4 linked regions of the Mytilus edulis genome follow. The protein of the gene in region 1 purifies or fractionates together with the protein of each later gene. This does not show direct contact. Links are inferred from orthologs where the notes say so. Each region holds a gene or a part of one and is shown in the gene's direction. Other genes may lie near its edges.

Region 1 (7,044 bases):
AACCTAGCGCACTGGTAGCAGTGATGAACAATTGGCAATTTACATTTCAGGTAAAATTCCTGACAGATTTTATGGCTCCTTTAACATCACACTTGGATGAGAAAACAGAGACTGGAATTATCTTTAAATTTCTTGATTATTCATTGATAAAGCAAGATATAAATTGTATACAAGTTACAATGAAAGAGAAAAATATTTCAAGTTTTTTGGTAAATATTCAACAATATCTCAGTTTTCAAACACTTTGACTAAAATTAATTAGGCTTGTTTAATTTTCATAAAATTTTGACAAAATATTTACTTTGACCCTTTGAAAAAAATTAAATTTCAAAAACTGCACACATTTTGGAAAAAATTTCATTAAATATATATATAGCAGTTTGTCAAAAACTAATTTTCATCATTGAAAAGCTTAATATTTCCTTTACTATAGAATGTGATTAAAAAGTTCATCTGTTTTTACAGAGTTATCTCCCTGTAGTGTTATGTACCACCTAAAAGTGCAAATAACCTGCACTAATTCAAAATCATGATTCATTTTTAAACACAATTTTTACTTTGTTTGGTAGTAACAAAATAAACAAATATGTTCTGAAGATTTCCTTAATTATTGAGGGCATAACTTTTCATATTAAACAAACTCATATTTATATCATTCAGCAGAAGTTTTTATGAGGAGAAGTGCTACATTCACATTTGCTAAATCTTATCTATTCGTTGCAAAAAGCAATGCATGAAATTTCTTCCAGTCATACCTTATATTGCTATAGTCATATCAACTAAGACTAAGGGGCAATAACTCAGACTTTCTTAACATTTTTAATTTATGTTTACAAATATAATCGAGTACTTATTGTTTTACAGACCATACAAGAATATACTACAATTTATTCAAAAACAAATTTGTTGATCCTGTACCTTCTGTACCAATTTCAGTAAAAAAAAAATGAAATTAAGTGGTTATTACAAATACTGTTTAAATCAAATTTGCAGAAAAAATATAATAGTTAAATATTGATCTTCTTATAAATTTACACTAAGACATTTTTGAATACCCAGAACATAACATAAATAAAGGTCCCTATGCTTTGGCTGCTCCTTTTTTTTTGCATTTCTAAAAAACCTCAGAGATCACTCATCTATTTATCAGTCAGAAAGGCTTACTCAAGAATGTGTACTAAACCCAAGTAGTGACAGATGCAGACAAATACATTAATTACCTAAAACAGGCTATTAATTGAACTTGGAATTATTTTTAATTATGGAATTTGCTTGATTTCTTGTTATTGAAATTTATAATAAATTCCATGCTTATTCTGTACTGAAATGTTCTGTGCTGCGCGCAACACTTTCTATTACAAAGAAAATAGTATATTTTCAATAGAATGTACTGTGCCGCGCACAACACTATCTAACCAAAACACATTGTATGGAAAGTTTTATTAACCACTCAAAAGATCATAACACCAAATCATTGCAAATAAACATGGAATTCATTAAAAAATTTAAACACAAGAAATTATTCAAATTCCATAATTAAAAATAATTCCAAGTTCAAATAATAGCCTGTTCTAAACACCTTTAGCTATTATCCTATAAATACATAAAAAGTGCATATATATTAATCTAAATCTGTGGATATCTACTTACCATTAAACAGGATCTGTAATTTGCAAACATTTTATTCTTTCTAGCATCACAATGTCCTACAAAAAAAAGATAAAATACTGAAAAAGATGTTATTTTCTCAATCATTATGCCGTTTGTGTAAAACAAGCAACTGTCATATAGACTCTTTATTCTTCACTTGTCTTGTTATCAATGAAAACTATTAACATTTTCAATATCTTATTGAAGCATCACCACTTATATAAAATAAAACATTCTAATACACTTTAATATATACATCATAGTGTATACATTTATTGACATACATAAAACATTCAAAAACCTATATAAAATATAGCATATTATAAAGCTTATAGTAAAATATCATTAGCTTAAATATTAAATCTTTTTTTTTTTCCAGGCAAATCACTGATAACTTTTGGTGCAAAAAGGATTGGGCTAGATGATCTGGATTCTATTGAAGGGTGAAGTTTAGGTCACCAAAGGCTAAAGCAATGACAATGGGGTGAGTTATCTTTATATTCAGAGTCTGACTGCATATTTCACTGTTACTTACATGACTTAGTACCTTAAACTACCTTTACACCTTTATCTTCAGGTCCTCATCTTGAATTGTCGTAATGCGATTTCTTGTCTCATAATAATAATATATTTATATATATTAGACTTATTTAAAAAAAAACTTATTTAGGTGTTCGCAGCTGAACACTTAACACAAATTAAACATATGAATTTATATGGGTTCCAATTTTCACCATTTAATGCAGACTTAAAATTATTCAAAGTCTTTGCCGTCTCAGTTAAATCTGACAGGTTATTCCACTGATCCACAACTCGAATTGAAAAAGTATTTAGTCTGTGTGTCGTCTTACACTGTTTAATTAATAAGTTCTAATAAGTGACCTTTAGTATTATTAGATGGTGCTAAAGTAAATAGGCTCATTTTGTTTATGTGTTACATATTTGTTTTTCGTTCATTTTTCTAAATAAATAAGGCAGTTAGTTTTCTTGTTTGAATTGTTTTACATTGTCATTTTGGGGCCTTTTATAGCTAACTATGCGGTAAGGGCTTTGCTCATTGTTGAAGGCCATACAGTGACCTATAGTTGTTAATTTATGTGTCATTTGGTCTCATGTGAAGAGTTGTCTCATTGGCAATCATACCAAATCTTCTTTTTAATATATACAAATACAAAATAATATTTTTATTGGCACAAACTCATTAAATAAATGGTTAAGACCTATGGCATTACATAATACTATAATAATTGACATGGTAGAATGAAAGGTTCCATGATAACATATCATGCTATAAAGAAAAGTTACATATTGATGTATCATATAAGTTCACTATTTCTTATAATAGACACTCTGATATGAAAGAGGAAGACAGTTTAAGTTATAATGCTGAGCTATTATTAACCAATAGAGATATTTTTTCATCAACGGTAATGTTACGCTGTATTTGAAATAAAACATTTATTTTTATTTTCTAATATTTCTCGGTTTGAGGTAAATCTATTACATTTTAATAAGAAATGTTGTTCATTCTCAATTTCCCCAGAGACAGGACAGTATCTTTCCTCTCTAGGAATATTAAGATGTCTTCCCCTTTCAATACACCTTATCGCTAATCCCGGCTGAACCGGCCGCTTGAACTTTTGACGCATACATCAATCACTTTTCCATTGTGGCGTCAGATATTTTGTTTTGTGACGTCAAATTTTTACGGGAACCTGTGTAATATCCAGTAATGGCGGACAAATAGCGATGAGGTGTATAATTAAAGGATGTGCACTTATGTGTATTTTGCATATTGCTGCTCTATCATTTAAATTGTTTAGTGAATCAAAATATGATGGTCTTTGACCCATTTTGTAGACTTGACGAAAGAAACTGAGCTTAGAAGACTCCTGTATATTTATGTATATCATCCAGTTGATGTCATCTTATGATCTTATCTATCTAACAATTATTTAGTGTTATTGTTGTTAGGGAAGCAAATAAACAGTTTCATGTCATGCAACTCTGTAAATAAAAGTTGTAAAAATCTTAGTTTTACGTCAATTAATAACAGAGGAATTAACTTTACTCTTAAGTCTTTAATACTATGACTGTGTTATCTGTGATTTCCAAATTTCCAACCAAAACGCACTGGTTCTACATGCATACTTTTTACGTTGAAAAAGCAGTGTTTTTTTGACACCAGTTTTATCACGAGAGTTCTAATAAGGGCAATAACTCTTAACTTAATTCGTATTTTGTGATATTTTACAGTATCTAAGACAGTAAAAATTAAATTGAATGTGTATAGAATACGAAAATTGTTTAGAGGATGAAAGGGAGTTATAAAATTTATTTTGATAACAGATTTAGCAAAACTAGACAGGAGTTAACAAAAATGTTTCGCCGGATATTATTACTGCGCATGTCCAAATTCTTTGGCTTTCCTCGCAACAGAACAGAAATTCAAGTTCAGAACATATACAGTCCAGCAATATGTCTTACAGAGATTTAAGAAGTATATTCATTACTGTATTGTCAATTAACTAAACTCCAATATTGTATAACTAGTAAAATAACATCTGTGCTCACAGGATTTTTTTACGAGCTATTTTTTTTCATCATAAATTAGACATAAGTGTTAGACATAATTGACATAGCACTTGTCTCGCAAGAAATATACAATTCTGTCTCAGACTGCATTACTCTTACTCATGAAACTGTACAATCTGACCATATTGCTGTATACTTAAACATACAAAGTGAAGAAAATGTTGAAATAGAAGAAATGGAGGAAACCTGGAACTTGAAAAAAGCAGATTGGAAAAAATGGAAAGAATCAACAAAGGAGAGATTCGAAAATTTTATATTTAATAGAGAGGAAAAGGTACAAGAATTGTATAACAGATTTGAAAAGGAAATTATGGAATGCATGGAAGAGTCAATTCCAAAAATTGAGAAAAAAAAGTTCTTTGCTCATAGGCACCCAGTTTGGTGGGATGACGCCGTAAAAGATAGTAAAAAAAGCCTTAATCAAGCACAACGTAAATTTAAAGTTAAAAGTACTCCGAATAATTTTGAAAATCTTAAACAAGCAGAAATTAATTTCAACAAAGTAAAGGATTTGGCCCAAGAGGAATGGGGAAACAACTTAGCAGAAAAGCTTTCAAAAGCAGCTAATGTCAAGGACAAATGGAGTGTATTTAGAAAAATGACAAAGAAGCAAAATAATAACATGGTACTTCCATTTGTTGATGGAAATGGAAACGTAACATTTAAAGAAGAAATAAAATGTGAAGAACTAGAAACAACTTTCTTCAAGGGAAAACACTTAAATCCCAGTTCCTTTAATGCAAAATTTTATAAAGAAATAATGGACAAATATCATTCAATCTCAAATGATGAAGAACAACACTTAGAGGATGACAAGGATATTAATATCAACTTTGCCATAGAACAAGATGAGCTGGCTGGTGCAGTTTACAGACTAAAAAATGAAACTTGTCCAGGACCTGATAATTACTTTTCATTACTATTTATTAATGGAGATGATAATCTGTATAGCACTTTATTATATATAATGAATAAATCATGGGATGAGGGTTCCTTACCAAAATCATGGAAACAAGCAAATGTCAAGTTCATCAAAAAAATTGGTAAACCAAACTACAATAATCCCTCATCATATCGTCCAATTAGCTTAACAAGCATACTAGGTAAACTAATGGAAAGAATAGTAACATCAAGGTTAGAAGGTTATGTAGAGTCAAAATTTATATTAGATAAAGAACAAGAAGGTTTTCGACATTTCCGCTCCACCGACAATGCTTTATTATCATTTGTTCAAAACATCTTTAATGGATTTAATAAAGATGAAAGTACTATTGCATTAATGATTGACCTAGAAAAAGCCTATGATAGTGTTTGGAGAGAAGGACTTTTAACAAAACTACATGGATATGGAATTAAAGGTAAAATCTGGAAATGGATAGAGAATTTTTTACAAAACAGAGAAGCAAGATGTAATATAAACAAGCATCAGGGACAATGGTTTAAAACTCAAATTGGGCTTCCACAAGGATCAGTAATATCCCCCTTACTTTTCAACATCTTTATTATTGATATTTTTGCTAAAATTTCCTCTAACAAATGTAAATTTGCTGATGATGGGACAATCTGGAAAACAGGCAAAGACAAAGATGAATTAGTGAAGGAGTTACAAAAAGATATCAACTCTATCCATGAATGGTCAACAAAATGGAGAATAAACCTCAGTATAGAAAAAACAGAATTTTGTGTATTTTCCAGAAATGGTATGACAAAGGAGAACATCAAGATAATGTTACAAGGAAAGGAATTAAAATATAATCCTAACCCCAAAATTTTAGGCCTTACTTTAGATGAAAAATGTAATTTCAATAAACACATAGACACTGTTGAGCAAAAAGCACAAAAATCTTTAGGGATAATCAGAAACATCAAGGGAATAGCAAAGGTATCTACAAAAATTTTAATACAGATATATCAAAGTATAGTGCTGTCTACAATGTTATATGCTAGCAGTGTATGGCAAATCAACAACAACACGCATATAGATAAATTAAATGCTATTCAGAGAAAAGGATTAGCCTTATGTCTCAACCAACCAGCAACAGCTAGTATAGAAGCCTTGGAAGTAGTAGCAGGAATAGTACCACTGGACCTCAAAAGAGAAGAAGCTGGTATAAGACAAATTGCAAAAATAAAATCATATAAAATCACTATCCCTATTAAACAAATTTTTGAAGATTGGAAAAATATAAATGAACCTGAAAAGATAATCTCACCAATTGGAAAAATGGTATTACAGTCTGAAGACATGAAGAGGTCAACAGATATTGATTCTGATTATATAGAGTCTCAATTTGAATTCCGAGGGTTAGCAGCCTCAAAATCACCACCAGAGTATTGGAAAAATCTCGGAAGTTCAAAGACTAGATCAGAGGAACAAGCATTTCAGGGAAAGACTATCATTTTGAAAAAAATACAGCAACTTAAAAAGAATACAACATTAGCTTTCACTGATGGCTCCTGCAAAGGAAACCCAGGTCCATGCGGGGCTGGGGCAGCTATTTTAATATCAAACAGCACAGAACATGTGGAGTTAACACAGCCAGTTTCCAATAGAGGATCTATTTTATTAGGTGAATTAGTAGCTATCAAGCTGGTAATAGATTTTCTTATAATTCCAAACAACAGAAAAAACACTGAATCCATCAAAATTTTCTCAGACAGCCAATCAGCAATTGGAATTTTGACTTTAAATTGGAAATCAGATAATTACGGCAAAACTATTCATGATATTAAAATCGGTATATTGGCACTAAAATCAGAAGGAATCATTGTTTCCATTGAATGGACCCCTGGACACGC
Region 2 (7,165 bases), on another chromosome or scaffold:
TTAGGTCGAATATAATAAAGATCAATTGGCAGGAAAATAAAGAAAAAAGTGAAAAAGTAAAAAAAATAAAACATACATGTACATGTATAGATATATAGAAACAAAATCAATTATTATGCAATTAGCAGTGATCTGGAAGGTTTTTTTCACTATGGGCCAAGGGCCCCTCAAAAATAAATTCAATGGGCCATTTTAAAAAATAATGGGCCATGTTGTCCAATGAGTGGGCCATTTGAATTGACTAGCTACTTCTGTACAAAAATAACCAGATGCTCCGCAGGGCGTAGCTTTATACGACCGCAGAGGTTGAACCCTGAACGGTTGGGGCAAGTATGGACACAACATTCAAGCTGGATTCAGCTCTAAATTTGGATTGTGATTAAACAGTTGACACAGCATAGGTTTCTGACACAGAATGAATGTGTTCTAATGAACTTAAAATTTTTGTTTTCTCTTAGATCAATTCACTATGCTGTTGAATATTAATCCTCTCAAAAAAATGTTTGAAGAAATTTTCTTTATTTATTTATGAAATTTCAAATGAGAAAAATTGAACCCAATTTTTTTAATCACATCCCCCTTTCCCTTATTCCAAAACTAATCTCAATTAAAATTTCTAATGCAGTTTGCAACAATAACTACTCATTTAAATACATCATAAAATATTAAGATGTAAAAAAAAAACTGCTTGTTATCACTGAATGGTAAAGATTATTTTAATTTATCAGTTGGTAGTAAAAAGTGAATATACATTGTATATTGTATATAACAAAGATTTAAGTTGATTCTGGACAAAGAAAGATAACCCCAATTAAAAAAAAATCTTGCTATTGCACAATATTTTGCAATTAGATATTTCTTGCTTACTATTCTGGACAAAGAAAGATAACTCTAATTAAAAATAATTTGCTATTTCACAATATTGTGCAATTAGATATTTCTTGCCATTGCGCAATATTGTGCAATTGAAAAGACTTGCTATTGCACAATACTTAATATAATAATTTTAGATCAGATTTGGACCAACTTGAAAACTGGGCCCATAATAAAAAATCTAAGTACATTTTTGGATTCAGAATATCAAAGAACCCCAAGATTTCAATTTTTGTTAAAATCAGACTAAGTTTAATTTTGGACCCTTTGGACTTTAGTGTAGACCAATTTGAAAACAGGACCAAAAATGAAGAATCTACATACACAGTTAGATTTGGTATATCAAAGAACCCCATTTATTCAATTTTTGATGAAATCAAACAAAGTTTAATTTTGGACCCCGATTTGGACCAACTTGAAAACTGGGCCAATAATCAAGAATCTAAGTACATTTTTAGATTCAGCATATCAAAGAACCTAACTGATTCATTTTTTGTCAAAATCAAACTAAGTTTAATTTTGGACCCTTTGGACCTTAATGTAGACCAATTTGAAAACGGGACCAAAAGTTAAGAATTTACATACACAGTCATGACAGTTAGATTCGGCATATCAAAGAACCCCAATTATTCAATTTTGATGAAATCAAACAAAGTTTAATTTTGGACCCTTTGGGCCCCTTATTCTGTTGGGACCAAAACTCCCAAAATCAATACCAACCTTCCTTTTATGGTCATAAACCTTGTGTCTAAATTTCATAGATTTCTATTTACTTATACTAACGTTATGGTGGGAAAACCAAGAAAAATGCTTATTTGGGTCCCTTTTTGGCCCCTAATTCCTAAACTGTTGGGACCTAAACTCCCAAAATCAATACCAACCTTCCTTTTGTAGTCATTAACATTTTGTTTAAATTTCATTGATTTCTATTTACTTAAACTAAAGTTATTGTGCGAAAACCAAGAATAATGCTTATTTGGGCCCTTTTTTGGCCCTTAATTCCTAAACTGTTGAAACCAAAACTCCCAAAATCAATCCCAACCGTTCTTTTGTGGTCATAAACCTTGTGTCAAAATTTCATAGATTTCTATTAACTTTAACTAAAGTTATAGTGCGAAAACCAAGAAAATGCTTATTTGGGCCCTTTTTGGCCCCTAATTCCTAAAATGTTGGGACCAAAACTCCCAAAATCAATACCAACCTTCCTTTTGTGGTCATAAACCTTGTGTTAAAATTTCATAGATTTCCATTCACTTTTACTAAAGTTAGAGTGCGAAAACTAAAAGTATTCGGACGACGACGACGACGCCAACGTGATAGCAATATACGACGAAAATTTTTTCAAATTTTGCGGTCGTATAAAAAGTATCACTATTTGTTGGCAAAGAGGTGTTGGTACTTACCTATATGATTTTAAATAATATCATGGATATTGTTCCTGTGATTCTGTAATTTCAATGAATATACAATAACTTCTTCCAAAACGGACAATATTAAAGATAACCTGTATTTACAATGTTTAAATGGTACTGTTGCCTTGGCTTATTCATGTTCATGGTTAGTGTTTTTTTAACATTAAATTTGGGTCTTCGTCGATACCATACTTATTCCAGGCGTTCCGTATTAAAGGACATTTCAGGCACTTCCTCTGCACTTCTTGTATTATTATTATTACTTCATCACGATGACAAGATTAACAGTAGAGAGTACTATTAATTGATAGAACAAAACAATAGTTCGCTGAAGTCATGTTAACAAAATGTCAAACGAGCCAAAGACCAAAAAATGACAAGGACAGTTAAGCGCCTTTTATGGAGACAAAAACTATATTCATAAAAAGACTTCGGGGGTTTTCAATCAAAATAATAGCAATTTAAACTAAATTAAAGATTATTATTAGAGTTGAATCTCGTCTGTAATAGCCAAATTTCACAAATTTAAAGTTGTTTATAAAAAATTATATCATGAATGATGGTTAATTACGTTTTTTGGGTCATCAGTTAGACCGCATGGTTCTATTATTACCATAGGAAAACACCCGAGACGTTAAACCGCATGGTTCTATTACCATAGGAAAACACCCGAGACGTCCCAAAAATATATAGGTGCTCCTATGATTGGAGGAACATTATACAGTTGTGTACACACACATGGCGGCACGGAACACGATCGGAAATCCATTTGACGATATCTAAAAGTTTCGAAACGATGTGAAAAATACGTGGGCGCTTACATTTGTCACTCTATGTGCCATTTCTGGTCAATATGCGCTATAGGCGCAGAGCGCACGTCCTTCCCGATCACTGCAATTAGTGGCAAAATTTTTGTCAGTTTACTTGAATGAATTTAGCTCTTTCATCTCTACAGCAACACAAGAAATTTTAACGTTATCTTAATCAACACAGCAGGAGCTACAAAAGGGCGTCTCAAATTATTGCTATCGACTATGGTATTCCTTTCTCTCATAAATTTGTAATTACACAATGTAGTGTAAACATCCTCACCACATCAAAGTAAATAATGTATGATTAGGTGTAAAATTTGATCTATACATTCTATCCAAAATCTGAGACACCCTTTTGTTGATAATGACTCTTGGAAAAAACATATGATAAAATCAATCCTCTAGGGGGATCAATGAACAAGCTAATTTTAATTGAAAGTGGAAATTTCTTGTAGAATTTTGTAGACACATTATAATTGATTAAATAATTGTTGTATAATACTATCAATGCATTAATTCGAGAGAGTAATCTGTTAGCTATCCATAGATAAAACTTTTATAAATTTTCAAGCATTATAAAGAAAGTTGCAGCATTTTAAAACTGGGGAATTGGAGATATATATGAAATCTTTGTATTGTGCTACCTTAATAAATCCTTGAATAAGGTAAGATTTCAAATTAAACCAAAAAGCAATCACTTACCTATTTCATCAACCTTGCTTAAAAAATCATCAATTTCTTTCTGTGTGCCAATACCATCATTCGTCGCCATTTTTGAATTTGTTTATATTAACAACCATAGATTATTGAAAGACGAATGCTTCATTCGCTATTTTCTAATACATGTACATGTCTTCCTTGAAAGTCTAGATTGATCTTTTAGTACAAGTGGTTTAATCTATCAACGCTTGTTTTGTGTTGGGTTTTTTCGGGCTGGCGCAGGACTTCGTAATAAAATGCAAGTGGAATTCGTTTGTTTTTTCGATAATGATCGGTAAAGGCCAAGATACACGAATGAAAATCAGCCGAGGTGGTATAAGTGTTTTAAATATCGTTTTATTAAATGTGATTCAAAGCTTTCGTTGTACGTAGAATAAATAGTTTTGGTAACAACAACACTCGACAGAGAAAAAAATCGGTGAAGAACTTTTGAGCGGTTATTGAAGAAAAGGAAACAAATCACAAAGAAATTAATCTCGCAAGCTCTTTCATTTTTCGATTCTTAGCTTTTAACATAAAGAACAGACGACTTTATACCGGATACAGTACGGTTTCTTGATCAAGTGATACATTTGACACTGACTGGTTGACTGACAGTCATAATTTGTATATCAGGTTTGTCACCTGAAATTATTATAACATTATTCCTTAGGAAACATCTTTTAATTTTGCTTAAAGTATCAAGTGTTGATAAATTGATCCACTCTACAGGGACTTTTTATACTAACGGGACTGGTCACTTATAACGATGTCTATACAAATTATCGAATTATAGTTATCCCGTACCATTGTAAACTCGTACCAACGTCAACTCGTACCACTAAAGAAAAACTTGTACCAATGCAAACTCGTACCACTGCTAACTCGTACCAACTTATTTAAATGCAATTGAATGAATGGTGTTTAATAATGAATATATACTTTACTTTGGGTCTCATTAATTAGCGACAACAAGCGTCAAGAAGCGACAACAAGCGTCAAGAAGTGACAAGCATCAAAAAGCGACAAGAAGCGACAACAAGAATTATTTTAGCGACAACAATCGACAAGAAGACTATTTAGCGACAAGAAAACATTTTTTTTTATTAGATATAAAGAAATTTGTATTTAATGTTTTTTTTTAAATTATACGAGCAGATATGTCTAATTAAAATGTTTTATTATATAGATAGACAAAGAAATGAAACATTTGTGAGGAAGAAAGAGATTGTGAAGTTTATATAAGTGTATTGGTAGATGAAGAAATTTAACATTTGTGAAGAAGAAAGAGATTGAGCTTCTTTTTTTTATTTTTTTGTGTCAATATTTTCAGGACAATGATGCACAAATAATTCATTTTGTGAGCTTAATATATATTGCACGAAAAGAGTTTGAAAAAATAAATTATAAGATAAATAATATGTTCTAAAACACAAGGAAAAGTAATCTCATAATACAATAATTAAACGTAATACTGGCTGTTATTCATAATAGATGATAAAATATTATGTGAATAATGTTTCATTTTTTTCTATCAATTTTAACTTTCTTGTCGCTAAAATTATTTTCTTTTGCATATTCTTTTAATATTTATTGCAATAATTAATTTTAATTAAAAAAAAATGTTTTCTTGTCGCTAAATAGTTTCTTGTCTTTTGTTGTCGCTAAAAAATTTCTTGTTGTCGCTTCTTGTCGCTTGCTGACGCAAATTCTTACTGTCTATAAACATGATAAATAACAATGAACTATAGCTGTTTCCTGTTGAGGGGTTCCCGAATTTTCCTGCCAAAAAAGCACATGGCTTTCAACAATTGTAAACATAGCATTCACTTTGTGATCATGGATTACAGCTTTAACACTTTCACTACTGAATTTATTTTTTTCCCGGGATTCTCTGGCCGAAATTTATTTGCACGAGGCGTTTGCATGACAGTGATTAATTTGACATGTGCTACAGCAAAAAACACCTCGTAGTTTTGGTCATTGAAAACTCAGGAACCGTAGCGATTTAATTTGGATATAGATATTCAACTTAAGGTACAGTTAAAGCAATGTTTTTACTTTTTTTATGGATTAAAACTAGTTTGAAAGCTCAGTTTAAAAAACAAAAAAAAGATTAAAAAAACATTTGCTATTTTTATCTAAGTTTTCATTAAATTCCAGTATAAATTCAAGTAATTCAACTTTATTTTTATTAAGTTTACAAAAAAAAAACATAGAACATTTATATTTTTTTTTAATATATTTTTAATGGTACGAGTTCTGAATGGTAAGACTTCCCAGTGGTACGAGTTAACTTTTTTGGTACAAGTTAACTTTTTTGGTACAAGTTAACTTTTTTGGTACGAGTTAACGTGGAACGAGCTTTCGGTGGTACGAGTTTACCTGCTTCCCAAATTATCAGACTGATCTCACATGACTTTATAGCAAATCATTTCAAATTTACGAAATGTTCTTCATATGTTCATGTTTAACAAAAAATCATTTTTATGAAATTTTATACATTTTGTCATTGCAAAATGCTGTTTTTCAAAAGATTTCTCAGATTGTTTTTTAAATATTGATCTTTGAACTTTGAAGTATTTGTTCGTTGAATTTTCAGTAGCTGCCATCTTGTTTGATATGTAAACCATTTTACGCAACTGGGGTGTTCTTTAGAACAATACGTCTAAGTTTAATAATTCATCATTCTTTTAAAATCTTATATTTTTTTATCATCATGATCATAAATGGCTATTAACAAGATTTTATTTTTGTCTCTGAGATGACGATCTTCAGAAGTACTATACATGTACATGCATGATTATAAATGCTTAGTACATGTAATGTAATTTAAAACTTCATATATGTAGTTATTGCTTTAATTAGCATATATATAGCTTCATTAATCAAACTCCAAATAAAGTTCGGTAGTTTATTTATACGTAGTTATATATGATGTTGTAAATAATAATTATATATTACAGTTTGTTTATTTATAGCTAAATGTCAGCAGAGGAAAAGAGACGTGGAGAAGATGTGGAAGATGGAGGACCAGGCTTAGTTTATATGCCTTTTGTTATAATGGAAGATCTTCTTGATAAATTAAGACTATTGGATTATGAACAAAATTTTTGTAGAGAAAGAAACCTTAAACCAATATCAAGGTAAAATATTCATAATAATGCAATTTGAGTTTATGTTCTAAAAATATATGTAACAAGATTGAATTGCAGAATGAGATCCACTATAATGACCATTACATGTATAAGTTAACCAAATTTTTATCAGTTTTGAAAATTTTAAAACAAAGAGAAATAACAAATGTTCAACAAAAATGATCAGCAAGACAAGATCTACATATTTCAAACATGGTCAAAATTATTAATC
Region 3 (6,896 bases), about 23 Mb from region 1:
TTCATACGGTACTAGACAATAATCTACCACTGATGAACCCTGAGTAGATACATAGGTAAAGTTATCCTTTTTAGAATTTCGTCCATTCAAGATGCAACAGTTTGCATTGATGCAGAAATCGCACAAATTTTCCCCATATGCATTAGCGGTGAAATCCAAAACTTTCCGTTCCGGGAGTATATCGATACCGGGAATAAAATCCTCCATTTCAGAACATCTACCATTAAAATCACCACATATGTAGAAAAAAGCGTCCTTGCCGTATATGTGAATCTGGCTGATGAGCATATCAAAGTACTCATTTGCATCGCATGTTCTGGTAGAATTTATTGGTGGTAGATAACAAACACATGAGTAAAGCACATCAGCTTTATTTAATTTATCTTGTAGTTTTATCCACAGTATTCCTTCAAACGAATCATCGCATATTACAACATGAAAATTTTTCATTATTTCATTTCGCACAAGGAATCCGATTCCACCAGAGCCTGTTCTTGCTCGAACATGAAGCCGCTTTCTGTTTTGACCAAACCACGTATATCCTGTTACTGATAATTTGCTCTCTCCAGCCAAATGAGTCTCGGCGACCCCTAATATGTCTATGTTTGTAAGTTCCAAGCAGGAAACTCGCAAATAAAAATTGACAGAGCCACTATCTGTGTTCCAGCCTCTTACATTCCAGAACCCGCATTTCCACTAATGTTGTTTTATACGCCTGCGGCTATCGGGATATATATTTCGTCGTGACTCACTACCGCTTCGTTGCTGAAAATCACTGGGTACATTATACTGATGTCTATTTCTACTGTTATTTTCGTACTCTCCCTGGTCAATACGGTTGAAATTGTTCCGTTTCTCCCTATTGTCAAAGTTCCGCATTCCACTAGCCTGTCCTTCATAATGTTTCACTTGAATTCTGGAGCCTCGTATTTCTAGTTTGTCTTGACCAATCGTGCGGACTATGTTCCTCAAATTAGCATTCATTACTCTTTGTGCTTTGGGAATATCGAAGTCAATAAATACATTTTTGTAGTTTCACCTTTTTAATCACCATAGGTTAAACAAACAACTGGCACATGTACTGTTGACACCTATCTAATCACCCAAGTACCTGTTATTACACGAAATTGGGAACTAAATATCCAATTAAATGTGTCTTGTCTTGTATTTGCTATAACCGGACTTCAATTTTGTTTTGTTATTATTACAAATCTTATGTTAATTATTGTAAGACAATTCAGTGAATTGTAGCATTTCTGGTTTCTGATCATATTTTGTATGGTGGTCTCTTGGTGTGATTTATCTGTACAATGTAATACTATTTTTAAGAATAAAGAAAACTAGGGTTTACAAATTTTATTTCAGTAGATGTTCATGTCAACAAACAATTAAAACATAACAATGATTTCGTCATTCAATAATCTCTAATATTTCTTACGAAAAATATGAGGCATATATAAAACACAAGCACATTTTAAAGTCAAAGGTATTTTGTCATTATCTATAAGACTGAAAGCATGCAGATATAAATGTTCATTGTCAAAGCACACTTAAAGCATACATAGCACATTTAAAACACACATAGCACATACAAAACATACATAGCACATACAGAATTCTGAGTCATATCTGAGATAACATGCAAAAATGAATGTTATTGTCAAGGCAAGACGAGTATAAACATCGGCAGGAGCAATTAACAGCTAGTCATTGGACGGACCGTAGATGTTGCCACAATCACGAAGTAGACGGGATGCTGTGATATCACCTTCTGTGTACTGGTCCCATAGCTGATGAAGACGACCTTCCAGCTCCTTGTAGCGTGTGCGTTGGTTCCTGAGGACCTGTTCTTCAGAAACTAAGTGGACTGTAAGAGACACAAGCTTGGCTTCACGATGAAGTGCTGGTACTAAGATGTAGAAGGCGGCATTAGCTTTCCCGATGTCAGAGTTGATTCTTGTGTGCCAACCTTAAATAGAATTGAATTATAAGAAATGATGTATTGTCATACATATATAAGCTATTTGCCTCATCACAGCAAAAAAAACCAACATGATTTATTATTAATATATATATAACTATATTGTTTAACCTCTATAAATTGTGACTTGCTTGGGGTTCTCTCATTGGCAATCGTACCATAACCTCCTATATCTATATAATTTATATTGCAGTAATCCTTGTTGGTAACGTCATGTGATTACATAGATATTAATTTCATAATATTCTTTACACTATAATAATACCATTAGTTTGATACGAAAATGAAATTCTTATGTTAAATAAAAATAGAAAATACATACCTTCAACATCATTATTGGTCCTGATGCTGGTCTGAAAGATATTCCAGACCTATAGTTGTTAATGTTTTTGTCATTTTGGTCTTTTGTCCAGAATAAGTAAAGACAAAATCCTGTGTTTAAGGTTCTATCATTCCTCAATAATATCAAATTGGAATATGGGATATTCTTTCAATTTTCAAGGTTAAAGAAACATGGATAAAAACTAATCCATGCATTCATGTTTCATATTATTTATATTTCATTTATCTGTAAAGAGAAAGTTTAAAGTTCGTGAAATGAATACGCAGACAGGACTGCCCCCTTGCGATGCCCAGTACTTGATTTGTCAAAAGTTGGTGAAACGGAGAAATGAATTCGCAGACAGGACTGCCCCCTTCCGAAGACCAGTACTTTATTTGTCAGTCTACTTATCGTTTTTTTATTGTTCTAATGAAGTTATATGCAATACTTAGACTCTGTTCACAAAAACACTAGTTTACTAGAATTATTCCTTCTTTACCTTCAGTGTCGCTTTTCCTTTTTCTGCAAGAGCCTGTTATAACTAAAGATCCATGATGATTATTGTTACTAGGTTAATGTAATTGAGAAACATCACCCGTTGAGATGCTGAGTTATATCAAGGAAGAATAGTTTAAAAGGAATGATGACAAGTTATAGAAATTAAGGTTGAGACAGAACAACAAATAACTATTATATTTATATATATGTATAAAAAAAAAAAGATCAGTGTCGAAATTTTAGTGAGGCAATTGCTTCACTTGCCTCAAGGGTAGTTACGGCCTTGTCGACGCAGTGGTCGGTACCCATGTTGAAAATGATAATGGATTTTTTTATCATGTTATTTTATAGAAGTATTTGGTAAGATCAAAGAAATCTCTGTTGTTTTTTTCAATTTTACTCCAAATCTATTTTTGGATACATGTATAATAAATGTTTGCCTCGGCTTGCCTTTCTAAAAACATTGTATCTGTTTGATGTGACCATTTGAATATAATTGCTTTTCAATTGCTGAATCCATTACAGATTAGTGAAATTGTTAAGAAGCCATTCACTGTCAATCAAATTTGTCTTTGTTTATTTACTAATCATAAACACCAAGGATTAAACACAATAAAAACACGAACACACGCCAATCATTAAAATTTCTTTTGTCAATAAACATCATAAATCACAATAATATTTCAAGTATAAGTTAATTACCCTCATTTAAACATATCTAATTCAACTGATGTAACAAATATTAATCATTTTTATATACGATCTTTTTTTTTCATAAATATTCATTATAATCTCATAAATTTGTATATAATTTTAATATATTATAAGATTTTTTTTTATTACAGTAAAAAAAAAAACAATCTTCTAATCGTAGTCCGAGTTGGTTCAATATATTTCTGCATATGAATAATGGTAGGCCGAGTTTGTTATAGTCCGAGTTAGTTATAGTCCGATTTTGTTATAGTCCGACTTTGTTTTAGTCCGAGTTATCCAGCAGCGAGTATTTTGATGTTGATTTCCGGTTAAGTGAACAAGTGCTTTTGAAGAACAAGCTTTGTGATTGGTCAACTGAGGACGAATGATCCAATCAAAAAGTCCAATACAAACTATTCGTACATTCCTTGCCATTTACCAAAACATTGAACTATTAGTATTTTGATAACAACATTACCATCAAAATACAGCATGCCAACTTGTTTAAGAGCAAAATGTATTATCGTTGGTAAGTTGAGAGTCCACCATTTATGCAAAAAAGTATAATTTCAATACAACAATGCCCTTATTTTACTTTTAAAGATATATATTCTACATGTCATATGTCATGTACATGTACCTGATCATGTCATGATGTCCATGAAGATTTACTGACTAAGTATGCATAATGGTCTACATGCTTTCGACATGTTTGATGGACTGTATCCAGGTGTGTTGATAAGTCGTTATTCTAAGGCTATTTTGTTCTTATTTTTTCTGTAGACTTAGCTTTCATTTTTTATTACCATGCATTGTCAAGCTTGGTAACTCATAATTGTTTGTCAGTAACTAAATGTACGATGCTGTCCCATACTGAACCTTCTGACCTTGTTTGTTTACATTCAAATTTCAATGGCATCAAAATCATGTGATGTCAATTCGTTATACCCAATCAAATTGCTCTACTGTCAATTAGGGGATTTTTCAGTCTACGGCAATTACGTTATTTCTTTGTGGGATATTGCTTCAAAATAGTTTGCAATAATTTAAGGTTTTATTTAACAGGAAATCTCTTTTTTTGCCATCTCTTTTGACATCAAGGGAATTTTGAATGAATATTTACCTACAGCTATGATGGTCAGAATATCCATCTTTTTATAATGAATAAAAAGAAAATTTTATGAAAAATAAATGTAAATTGTTTTTTATTAACCAACTCTATATTCCTGTACAAAATTATGGCATGGACATCGTTTTTTTCGTGTAGTTTTCCTTTCATTTTGATTGGGATTTTTTCGCGGGAAAATTGTGATAGACGTAAGGAGCATGTCATTTTAAAATTCCTAAAAATACGATTTGCTTGACCTGTATTGCCTGCCACAAGATTGATGACGCTGAATGGAATGTACACAAAGCAATGGAGGCCGGAAGTGGGATTTTGTGAAGTTCTAGAATGTTTTTAGACATTCGGAAGTCGGGATTGAAACTGGCATTAGAAAATTGGCATTTTTTTGCAATAATTGAGAACAACAATGAAAACTTACCTAAGAAATGTTTTTTTTATTCAAAAGGCAGAAAAAACGTATTCTGCACTGTTTTTCTACGCCGGAAGTAGCATAGTGACGTCAATGCGGTGTTTCCCTGTGTGTTAAGTTCAAACACAAATACCTAACGAACTGACAAGATGAACGACTTTAGACTACGGTAGGATACCAATGCGGCCGTTGTCGTTTGATCATAGTCTGACTTTTGTTTTAGACAGAATAATTATGATGTCTTGTAAGTGTAATGGTAGTCACTTTGTTTACTTGTTTATTTTATTTATTTGGGAAAATTAATATTAGTATTACTTAAAGTTCCGTTTCTCTTTCTCCTGAGACTAGTCATGTAATTATTCTTGTTGGGACTTCCTGCTTCTTGTACGTGCCCGACATCTGGCCTTGCTGGGCTCATCCCTAGGAACTATAAGTATGACGTCACTTACCAGGTTCGGGCAGTCTACACTTAGGATTTCAAATGAGCAGACTTTCATATTGTTTTGCTTTAAATATGGAACCTTTATTTAAACAACAAGTAGACCATATATTTTATTCAGTATTCTTACATTTATGTAATCGTATGTTCAACCATAATGTTTGTCTTTAAAACCAACCAAGATGGGCGACATGGCTACAAAGGGTAAAATGCAGTTTTTGGCTCATATCTCTGAAACCAAAGCATTTAGAGCAAAGATGGTGTGGATAAAATTGTTTATGAGGTTAAGATCTATCGGCCCTGATATTTTCGCACCAATCGGGCAACTTGTTATTGGGTTGCTGCCCCTGAATTGGTAATTTTTCAGAAAATTTTGAAGCTTTTGGTTATTATTTTAAATATCATTATCATGATTATAGATAGAGATAAACTGTAACAGCAATAGTATACAGCAAAGTTAGAGCTACAAATAAGTCAACATGACAAAAGTGGTCAATTGACCTCATAAGGAGTTATTGCCCTTTATAGTCAATTTTTTACAATTTTCATAAATATTTGTAAATTTTTGTAATTTATTTTACAAAATATTTTCCACTGTTACATTCTGGGCTAATTTCATTATCGATAAAGATAATTGTAAGCAGCAAGATTGTTCAGTAAAGTAAGATCTACAAACACATCACCAACACCAAAACACAATTTTGCCATGAATCCATCTGTGTCCCTTGTTTAATATGCACATAAACCAAGGTGAGCGACACAGGCTCTTTAGAGCCTCTTGTTAAACAAACTCATCCTTTGGATTCGTTCATTTAGATAGTTAACTTGTAACTAGTATATAAATAGTACATAGATGAAACTGAGCACAAGTTTTAAATATTTATCAATTTGACAAATATCTCATACACATACTTTTTTTCAGGTGATTCTTCTGTAGGAAAGAGCTCCATTTGCCAAGTTTTTCACAGCGATGGATCACACTTTCCTAAGAATTATACAGTAGTAAGTTTATAATTTGTTAGGCTGGAACTTATCCAGTAAATTAATTTAAAATTTCATGCATTATCCAAAATATAAACACATTAATCCATACACATCACTTCAGTTGTAGCAAATTAATTAGAAAATCTGTTATTTAGTAGTTTTACCGAAATTTCAAACATTACAGGGTTAAATAATATCTTGTTTTGTACATAGTCATGGAATTGAAATAGAACATTTGCTTGTCACCTTTGCAAATTTTCACTGCTGAATAGAAGTTGAGGTGACCATATTTCCATACCAATCCTTTGTACACTACAGTCATGACAGTATACATACATGTATATGGATAATTAAAAATGATACATGTATATTATTTATCTTGTTTAAGACAAAGAAAATCACCAAATTATCAATAAGCATAAATTTACAAATGTGGTATGAAAA
Region 4 (7,780 bases), on another chromosome or scaffold:
TGCTCCGATCACTTACACGCGACATTGCTGAACTACCTTGGTTTCAAAATGATAAAAAACAAATAATACCTTTTTGGACAGGCTTCCATAAAAGACTTTCCGACCGAAAAAACATTCATGTCGTCGTTGCATATCCTCCAATCATAGACGCAAAACCTGCTGACATGGCGACAGTGTATACGACAATGGTGAAATGCCTAGAAATGTCAAAGGCCGCAGGTCAGAATAACCCAGTACAGACCTTCGACCAACAGCTTTATGCCATAGCTCAACAAGTAAAGTGGCCTATGCCTCAGATTTTTCACCCACACGTTGTTAGATTAGGTGGGTTTCACATGGTTTCGTGTTACCTTTCAGCAATAGGCAAAATATGGGCATTAGCTGGGCTTCGGGATTTATTGGTCGATTCGGGTGCATATGCAGGATGTACTGTAGATCAGATTCTTCAAGGCAAGCAGTTTAATCGCGGTGTTAGAGCTTACACATTAGCATATGAAACTGTGATGGCACTATGGTTCAAGAAATTTTTTCAATGGTGTTCAAACCAACGAAAAATTGCTAACATAGACGAAAAGTTCTGGCAAACAATGCTTTCTTGTCATAATGCATTCAGTGACCTTAATACAAAGGTATTAGATCTCTCTGAATTTTTAATTCTTTTCCGGGAACAGTTATCCCCGTTGATTTCGGAGTTCAGAGAGTTTTCTTATAGAGCATCTCCAACTTTTAAATTTTGGGAAATGTTTTTACGAGCCGTTGAAGTTATGCTAATGAATGTCAAAGCAGAACGTGATGGAGATTGGACTTTACACCTCCAATCCGTGTCTTCTATGTTGCCATATTTCTTCATTGCAAACAAGACAAATTATGCTAGGTGGACACCAACTTATTTAATTGACATGCTGAATCTCCCAGAAGAAACTTATTCAGCTTTCATGTCCGGAAAGTTTGCAGTCAGACAAAAGCCTGGTGTTTTCAATGGCATATGGAGTGATATGGCAACAGAGAAGACTATAATCAAAGATTCGAAGGGAAACGGCGGTATAGTCGGATTAACTACACATAAATCTGCTCTTCTTCGTTGGACTTTTACTAGGCACATTCTTGCAAGGTACGCTTCTGAAATGAGGAAAAGGTCTGAAATTGCTATTGGCTCTGACGAAAATTACGAAGAGAGTAGACCGACAGCGATGAAACGCGATGAGCAGCAAGTGAAGGATCTTATTGAGCATGTTCAAAATAATATGACAGATATTCGACATTGAAGAATGTCCCAAATCGCTAATAAACATTGCAACAGGTTTGCATGCCAGTAGAGAAGTTGAAGATTCGCTGCTGAATTCTGTAGATCGAGGACAAAAATCGATGAAATCTTTTGTAGATGGTTGTTTCAAAGACAACGAAACTCGCGACTTCTTTTCCCCAATTTCTAAATCTGCACTCAAAACCTTTGACGACATGGCAAAGCCATGCAATCTAAAATGTCGATCTGGCGATATTGTAAAAACTCATATTAATCCCGAGCTTGTCTTTCGAAGAGCTTTAGCCCTTGCAAATGTCCGAGACGAAGTTACCGTTGAAAAGGTTTTGGCTTACCCCATCGGTAGAATACCAACATCCATTTTCCATGACGATGGGTTGATGAGGAAATCATGCAAAGCAGATTTCATTCATCTATTGGAAAAAGAGGTGTGCACCTCTTTCACACTTCCACCGTATGATAAGAATCGATCAATCCTTATCAGAGATGGCATGGGTATTGTTCAAAGTCTTTTTGTAAAAAGGTACAACAGTTTTGGAGATTTGGCCAAGGACTACTTTAGAACTTTAATAGCAAGTTTTGAAAATTTCGGGTGTGTCGTAGACGTGTTTGATCGGTATGACGTAGAACATTCTACAAAATCAGCAGAAAGAATGAGGCGGTCTATTTCAAATGGTGGTAAGATTTTTCAGGTCATTGAAGGTAGGTCAATTACAGATTGGAAGAAATTTCTATGTGCATCGGAAAATAAACAAGCATTATTAAGATTTTTGGGTGACTATGCGCTCGCACACTTCAATGAATTCGATTTGAATGAGCAAGACGAACTATTCTTAGCTGGATGTTTTCAAAACCCAGAGACTGTTAAACAAATTTATGCCGGAACTGTTACTGATTGTATTCAGTTGTTCAGTACACAGGAAGAGGCAGATACAAGAATCATTCTACAGTCTCTGTTTGCTAATGAACAGCTAATAAAAAGCAATTCCAGAGGTCGCATTGTAATAAAATCATCGGACACTGATGTTTTACTTCTGTGTATAAGGTATTTTCCCAAAATGACAAACATTGATGAATTGTGGTTCCAGACAGGATGCGTTTCTTCAACCAAAGACGCCCGACGGTTTATACCTGTACACGATATATACAATGCCATTGGACCAGTGGTTTCTAGTACATTACCAGCTAATCACGCTCTAACGGGATGCGACACGACGTCTTCTTTCTTTGGAATAGGCAAAAAGACAGTATACAAGACATTAAAACAACACCCATTAAGATATCAAAGTTTGATCAATCTAGCTAGTTCTGATATCAAAACATCTGTAACAGTGGGAAGACAATTTATCGCTGATCTATATGACCCCAAAGTCAAGGCTCAATCTGTACATGGTGATCTAAATAAACTGCGAGTGAAGTCAGCGCTATCTAAGGATGCTTCCTTAGTGAGACTTCCTCCTTCAAAAGCATCTTTCAGACAACACATATTTAGAGTATCCCTACAAGTGTACGTCTGGATGAATGCCCATATTGCAAAACCACCACCTAGATCACCTCTTGAATATGGATGGACAATGGGGAATAGCTCGATAGTTCCACTATATTTTGAGGGGCCAATGTCTTCTGACTTTTTACAAGACCTTGTTTGCACATGCAAAGGCAAATCTATTTGTGGTAAATCATGTGTATGTTATGAACAACACTTGTCATGCACAAGCATTTGTGGTTGTCAGGGCAGTGATGATTGTAGAAACCAGCTTACTCATCAGACTGTTTTAGAAGATTGCAACGACGCGGATGATGATTAGTATGAACCCCAATGCCCAATATTTCATGTGTTAGATGCTAGAAGCCTTTTCGCTGTTGAAAATTGTTGAGAAAATAAAATTAAAAAAAAAAATAGAAAAATAAATAAATTAAAAAAAACTATAAAAAAAACCTGCCAGTGGTCTCCGACCTTGACGTGGTTGGTAGGCTTGTAAACCAACAGGAGACTTTATCGAATAATTTAAAAGTATAACATGTACTTTTTTGTGTTAGTTTTTCGTAACCACTTCAAATCATCGGACGTGCATAATAATGTCAAGTGTTATTGAAATATACAAAAATATCTTCATTTGTATCAAAATTTCTGTAAATCGTGTTTGTGTGATATATATAGTGCTTTAAAACGGTAAAAGTCAAAAGTCTACTCTTGATTTTTTGTTGTTTGAGTTGTTTTTTAAAAAAGGGGGATGCACATCGTCATGCATTTTCAAAATGATATTACTCTTGCACTGGTTGACCTATTGTCATCAATAAAACTTCATATACTATCGTGTTCATGCTGACATTTATGCATCAAGACTATTTTGATAATTTCAACATTATTTTTTTATTTAAAAAGGGAATAATGAATTTGATCATTTTTTCATTGAATCATGGACCGGGTGTAAACTTTACAGTTCTAACTTCTCCTTTATTCTTTATATTATCTTAACAAAACTTTCCCAAAAATATCTTTATATATTGTAATATATTATTGAAAAGCTGAATATTAAATATAAAAATTTTTTATCGATAATTTTTGTAAATAAAGATAATCTTTATCATTTTCTTCCATGTTGGCTTGGGTGGTGAACATCACTAATCTATGTCAATCTGGCATAAATATTAGAAGCTGCATTTGTACAGCCCCCCTAGAGCTTGCTTCCATTGAAATTTTTCTCAGTTATCATGAGCGAATACCGAGAAATTGTCCAAAATGTCCAAAAATGTAGATTTTTTAAAATCCCCCCTTTTTACCTTTAATCGTAATTATCAAAAATCTGCACCACTTTGGCATTCTACGACATGCCTTAATAGAAGGGTATTATATTTATCTTCAAAATAAGACCAAAATTAGCCGTGAGGTATTTCGGTGCATTAAATTTTTAAATTTACCTTAATTGTCACCGTACTATTACAAAGACAAGATACTTGTATCTATTACGTTGACCATAATATGGCATTCCGTTTTTTTTAAACAAAATATTACCAACTCTTTCGATTTGACTTTTAGGTTAGAATGGGGAATACTTGTGTAATTTGTAGAAAAAAAGTCTTTTTTTTAAAAATACTATTGCAAGATGGAAGAGTCTTAGAAATATAGATGCCACAACTGCAACAAGTGTATTACAATATTTCTTCACTCGAGACAATTAAATTACAGTGGTGGAATCTGTTTCTCTAATGATTGATATACTTGAGATTTCTGTTAGTCTTTTTGAGTTGAATGTTATGGTAGTTTGTAATTTGACATTTTGCTATATTTAACCATGTATGTAACGTTAGCATTATTATGTTTAGTGTGAATGTATTGAGTATAAAAATGTGTATACGTGTATATCTGATGTCCTCTTACACACCTATGAGGTTTATTAATAAAGTATTGTCTATTGTCTACTAGGGATACCCAAGTCGTAATTAATTAATCTAATTAAAAAGAAACTTTTCTGAAAGGTTCATATTTTGGTCTTTATTTAGATTACTCATTTGGTTGTTAGCTAGACCAGACCAGACGATCCCATAATGCACTTGCATTCCAAACTCGATGGAGGACGACTACGACGAAGAGCGTGAAAACGTAAAATAATTGAGCTATTTTCCAAATATTAGTGAGATTATATTAAAGCAATATATATGCTTTAGATGTTTATAACATTTCCTCTACCTTCTGATAGATTTCAGCACATAATTACATGTTTTTATTGAAAGAAATCATATGTTGCTAATGTAAACATCTTGCGCTTTATCAAATTTATATCATTCTCATATCATGATATTGTCAGCAGCGAACCATATCCACTTATTTCAATGAATTGCCAACAGCGTCATCTCGTTTTCCCATATTTGATATTGCAATTCATATATTCAAGGTCTCGCATTCATCATGTTCATACAATTTTCATTCATTTGACAAATTCATGATGATTTCTGAGGTACATTTCGCCCTGTGTCTGCTCGAGCAGAGTCTGTTACCCCTGTTTTTTTCTCTCCCTGTAATATCTTTTCACTAACAGATTTAGGGTGTTCTGGACCCCTCTCCCCCACTTGAAAATCTTTAAAAATAAATTTGTAAAAAGACAGCATGCAATCACTTCAGCATTTCTTGTTTTATGCATATGGTTATCTTTACTAAATATTGAATATCCAGTGAGCTCTTAATAGGAACAGGAACAAATTTTGGCTCACAGCTACACTCAGTTAAATAAAAACACGCCATAATTACATTTGCCTGGGGGATATTATTAGAGGATCAAAGGATTTAATTAGGACTATCAAAGGCAGCTCTCCCTATATTTTATTACTTTGTTGGTTTATTATAATCAAAACGATCTTTTCTGTTAGCTTGATTTGAATAAAAATACTTTCACACTCTATTATATCCATAAGAATTTTTTTATTATTTTGTTTTTAATTCTGCAACGTACTGCTGTCAGACTGAGAGACACCTGCTAAATCTAAGGATATTGCAAACTTCATTTTCACATCTGTACCTATTGCTCAAATGTATAGCATTTTAAATAAACACTTGAATCTAGCTAGTTCCTTTTCTTTTCCTAAACAAGAAATGATGCTTCAAATATGTGTGGCTGTTTATTCAACTTTACCATGTTTACCAGAAGGAATTTACTGCAAAATTTGTGTTTTGTTCGCCACTACCTGACAACCTTAAACATTTTGATAAGAAACATTTTCAGTAATGGGTAAAAGTATTCAAATGGTGAAAGCAAATCTCACGAAAAAAACAGAATACTACCAAACAGTCTTATTAAGAGCACAAGACTTTTTTTGCGATCAACCATTACAAGTGAGAGACTCAATGTCCTTGCTTTAATGCATATTCATATCAGCACTGAATTGTCAAAAGTGCAGTGATGGATCACTATGCTAGAGCCTATAACATCAGGATGAAATTATCAACAATACTATGTAGGATGAACATTAGGTTTGGTATAACAAACTTCTACAAGGGCCAAATAAAAATATATGTGTGGTTCCAGTAACCCTACCTTCCCTACTTTTTTGTCTTGAAATTAGCCTACCCTAAAGATTTTATTGTCATATTTTATTAAGCACTGTTAAAGTCAGAATGATGCTCCCATCTGCCCATAGGCTCAATGTAAAAAAAACCAACATAAAATTAAAAAAAATCCCTACCTACCTATCCTAACTTTTTTTCAGATGACGAGATGTAACTGGAACCACATATACTATTTTATTTGGCCTAATGTTCAAAAACAAGTCTCAAACGGAAGTTCGAAACTAACCTAGTGCTAACCCTAATACAAACCCTATGCTACCTTTAATTAAACTTACGTACTCCTTGCTATGCATGCCTACACTGAAGCCTTACCCTTAGGTCAGGTAGGTACTGGAACCCCTAGCTAATGAAAAAGACAGATATTCTTGGTTTATGAATATACATGTACATCTTGTCACTGTGTTATCATTATTAAAATACATGTACCAAAACATTGTAGATAAAAAGGGGGGGGGGGGTATATCCAGTTATTGTGTAGACATGTATTTAAAAATCCTGTATCATCCAAATGTAAAACAGTGCTTCAGTTGTAGGAGGACAATATTCACAGCTTGGTATATTACATACTTAAACAGTATGGCAAAGAAAAGAAGTACAAATGTGACACTGAGTTCTGACAGACTTCTTGATGGTACTATATTGTACCCAATTACAATGTACTTTGCAGGCCACACATAAGAGAAGTTCCAGTCGATACTTAGTTAAACATTTCAATAGTTTGTAATGTTGCTGCCTTATTTGATATGTCTCTTGGTTGGTCATACATAATGTTTAAGTTATCTAATCTATTAAATTAAAATGATTGTCGGTTTGGACCAATCACACAGCTGTCACAAATATTTTAATGTTCGAAACTAGAATTTATATATTTTTTGATTTTCAGGCCAAACATTTTCAGAATCAACCATACGACGAGGCATTGGAGGTTCCTGACGGTGAAGAAGTTGCAAGCACATACTCACCAACTCCACGAGTACACCACCCTTCTGGTATGATCTCTTTTAAAAACATTTAATAGATAATGACATATAATGTCTATGAAACAGCATACATGTACATCCATTCTCTTATCATTTTCACATAGAGGTTTACAAATGTTTGCTACTAGATATTTGAAGGTTTCCAACTTCTGTAAATTCAGAAATTATTGCATGCATTTAGTATTGCAATTTTGTCATTTTAGACATAAATGCAATTTTAATTTTTTAAGATTTTTTTTCAGGAAAATCTGTTTCATTCATATTATGAAATAGTTCAAAATGCAAGTTTAAATTATTACGTTTACAACTCTGTCACATTTTTCGCAACAATTAAAACTTCACGATAACTTCTGAATTTGCAGTATATATTCTGTATATTTCTGTATATTATTGTATATTTTTGATATTTTGAACATTCTCTCTCTAATGCTATCAAAGGAGGTAAACTACTAGGAATCCCTGGCATGCCTGGTA

The links.
Region 2: the proteins of clusterin-associated protein 1-like (region 1) and intraflagellar transport protein 57 homolog purify together in Homo sapiens (affinity purification with mass spectrometry; 4 studies listed by BioGRID and IntAct, counting the BioPlex papers as one, with this or other methods). This does not show direct contact. The link is inferred for Mytilus edulis from reciprocal best matches to the Homo sapiens genes CLUAP1 and IFT57.
Region 3: the proteins of clusterin-associated protein 1-like (region 1) and intraflagellar transport protein 27 homolog purify together in Homo sapiens (affinity purification with mass spectrometry; 3 studies listed by BioGRID and IntAct, with this or other methods). This does not show direct contact. The link is inferred for Mytilus edulis from reciprocal best matches to the Homo sapiens genes CLUAP1 and IFT27.
Region 4: the proteins of clusterin-associated protein 1-like (region 1) and intraflagellar transport protein 46 homolog purify together in Homo sapiens (affinity purification with mass spectrometry; 3 studies listed by BioGRID and IntAct, with this or other methods). This does not show direct contact. The link is inferred for Mytilus edulis from reciprocal best matches to the Homo sapiens genes CLUAP1 and IFT46.

The regions. Positions count from the first base shown.
Region 1 is NC_092352.1:6,024,731-6,031,774, forward strand, and holds the start of clusterin-associated protein 1-like, read left to right. Parts: upstream 1-4,020; 5' UTR 4,021-4,128; coding exon 4,129-4,150; intron 4,151-7,044. UniProt on the Homo sapiens protein: Required for cilia biogenesis. Appears to function within the multiple intraflagellar transport complex B (IFT-B). Key regulator of hedgehog signaling.
Region 2 is NC_092348.1:50,745,446-50,752,610, reverse strand, and holds the start of intraflagellar transport protein 57 homolog, read left to right. Parts: upstream 1-4,162; 5' UTR 4,163-4,432; intron 4,433-6,777; 5' UTR 6,778-6,781; coding exon 6,782-6,942; intron 6,943-7,165. Other genes in the region: tetratricopeptide repeat protein 12-like, read right to left, coding at 3,800-3,869. UniProt on the Homo sapiens protein: Required for the formation of cilia. Plays an indirect role in sonic hedgehog signaling, cilia being required for all activity of the hedgehog pathway.
Region 3 is NC_092352.1:29,288,541-29,295,436, reverse strand, and holds the start of intraflagellar transport protein 27 homolog, read left to right. Parts: upstream 1-3,869; 5' UTR 3,870-3,986; coding exon 3,987-4,023; intron 4,024-6,390; coding exon 6,391-6,470; intron 6,471-6,896. UniProt on the Homo sapiens protein: Small GTPase-like component of the intraflagellar transport (IFT) complex B that promotes the exit of the BBSome complex from cilia via its interaction with ARL6. Not involved in entry of the BBSome complex into cilium. Prevents aggregation of GTP-free ARL6.
Region 4 is NC_092348.1:89,657,127-89,664,906, reverse strand, and holds the start of intraflagellar transport protein 46 homolog, read left to right. Parts: upstream 1-4,759; 5' UTR 4,760-4,832; coding exon 4,833-4,865; exon of another isoform or gene 4,866-4,896; intron 4,897-7,209; coding exon 7,210-7,315; intron 7,316-7,744; coding exon 7,745-7,777; intron 7,778-7,780. UniProt on the Homo sapiens protein: Forms part of a complex involved in intraflagellar transport (IFT), the bi-directional movement of particles required for the assembly, maintenance and functioning of primary cilia. May play a role in chondrocyte maturation and skeletogenesis.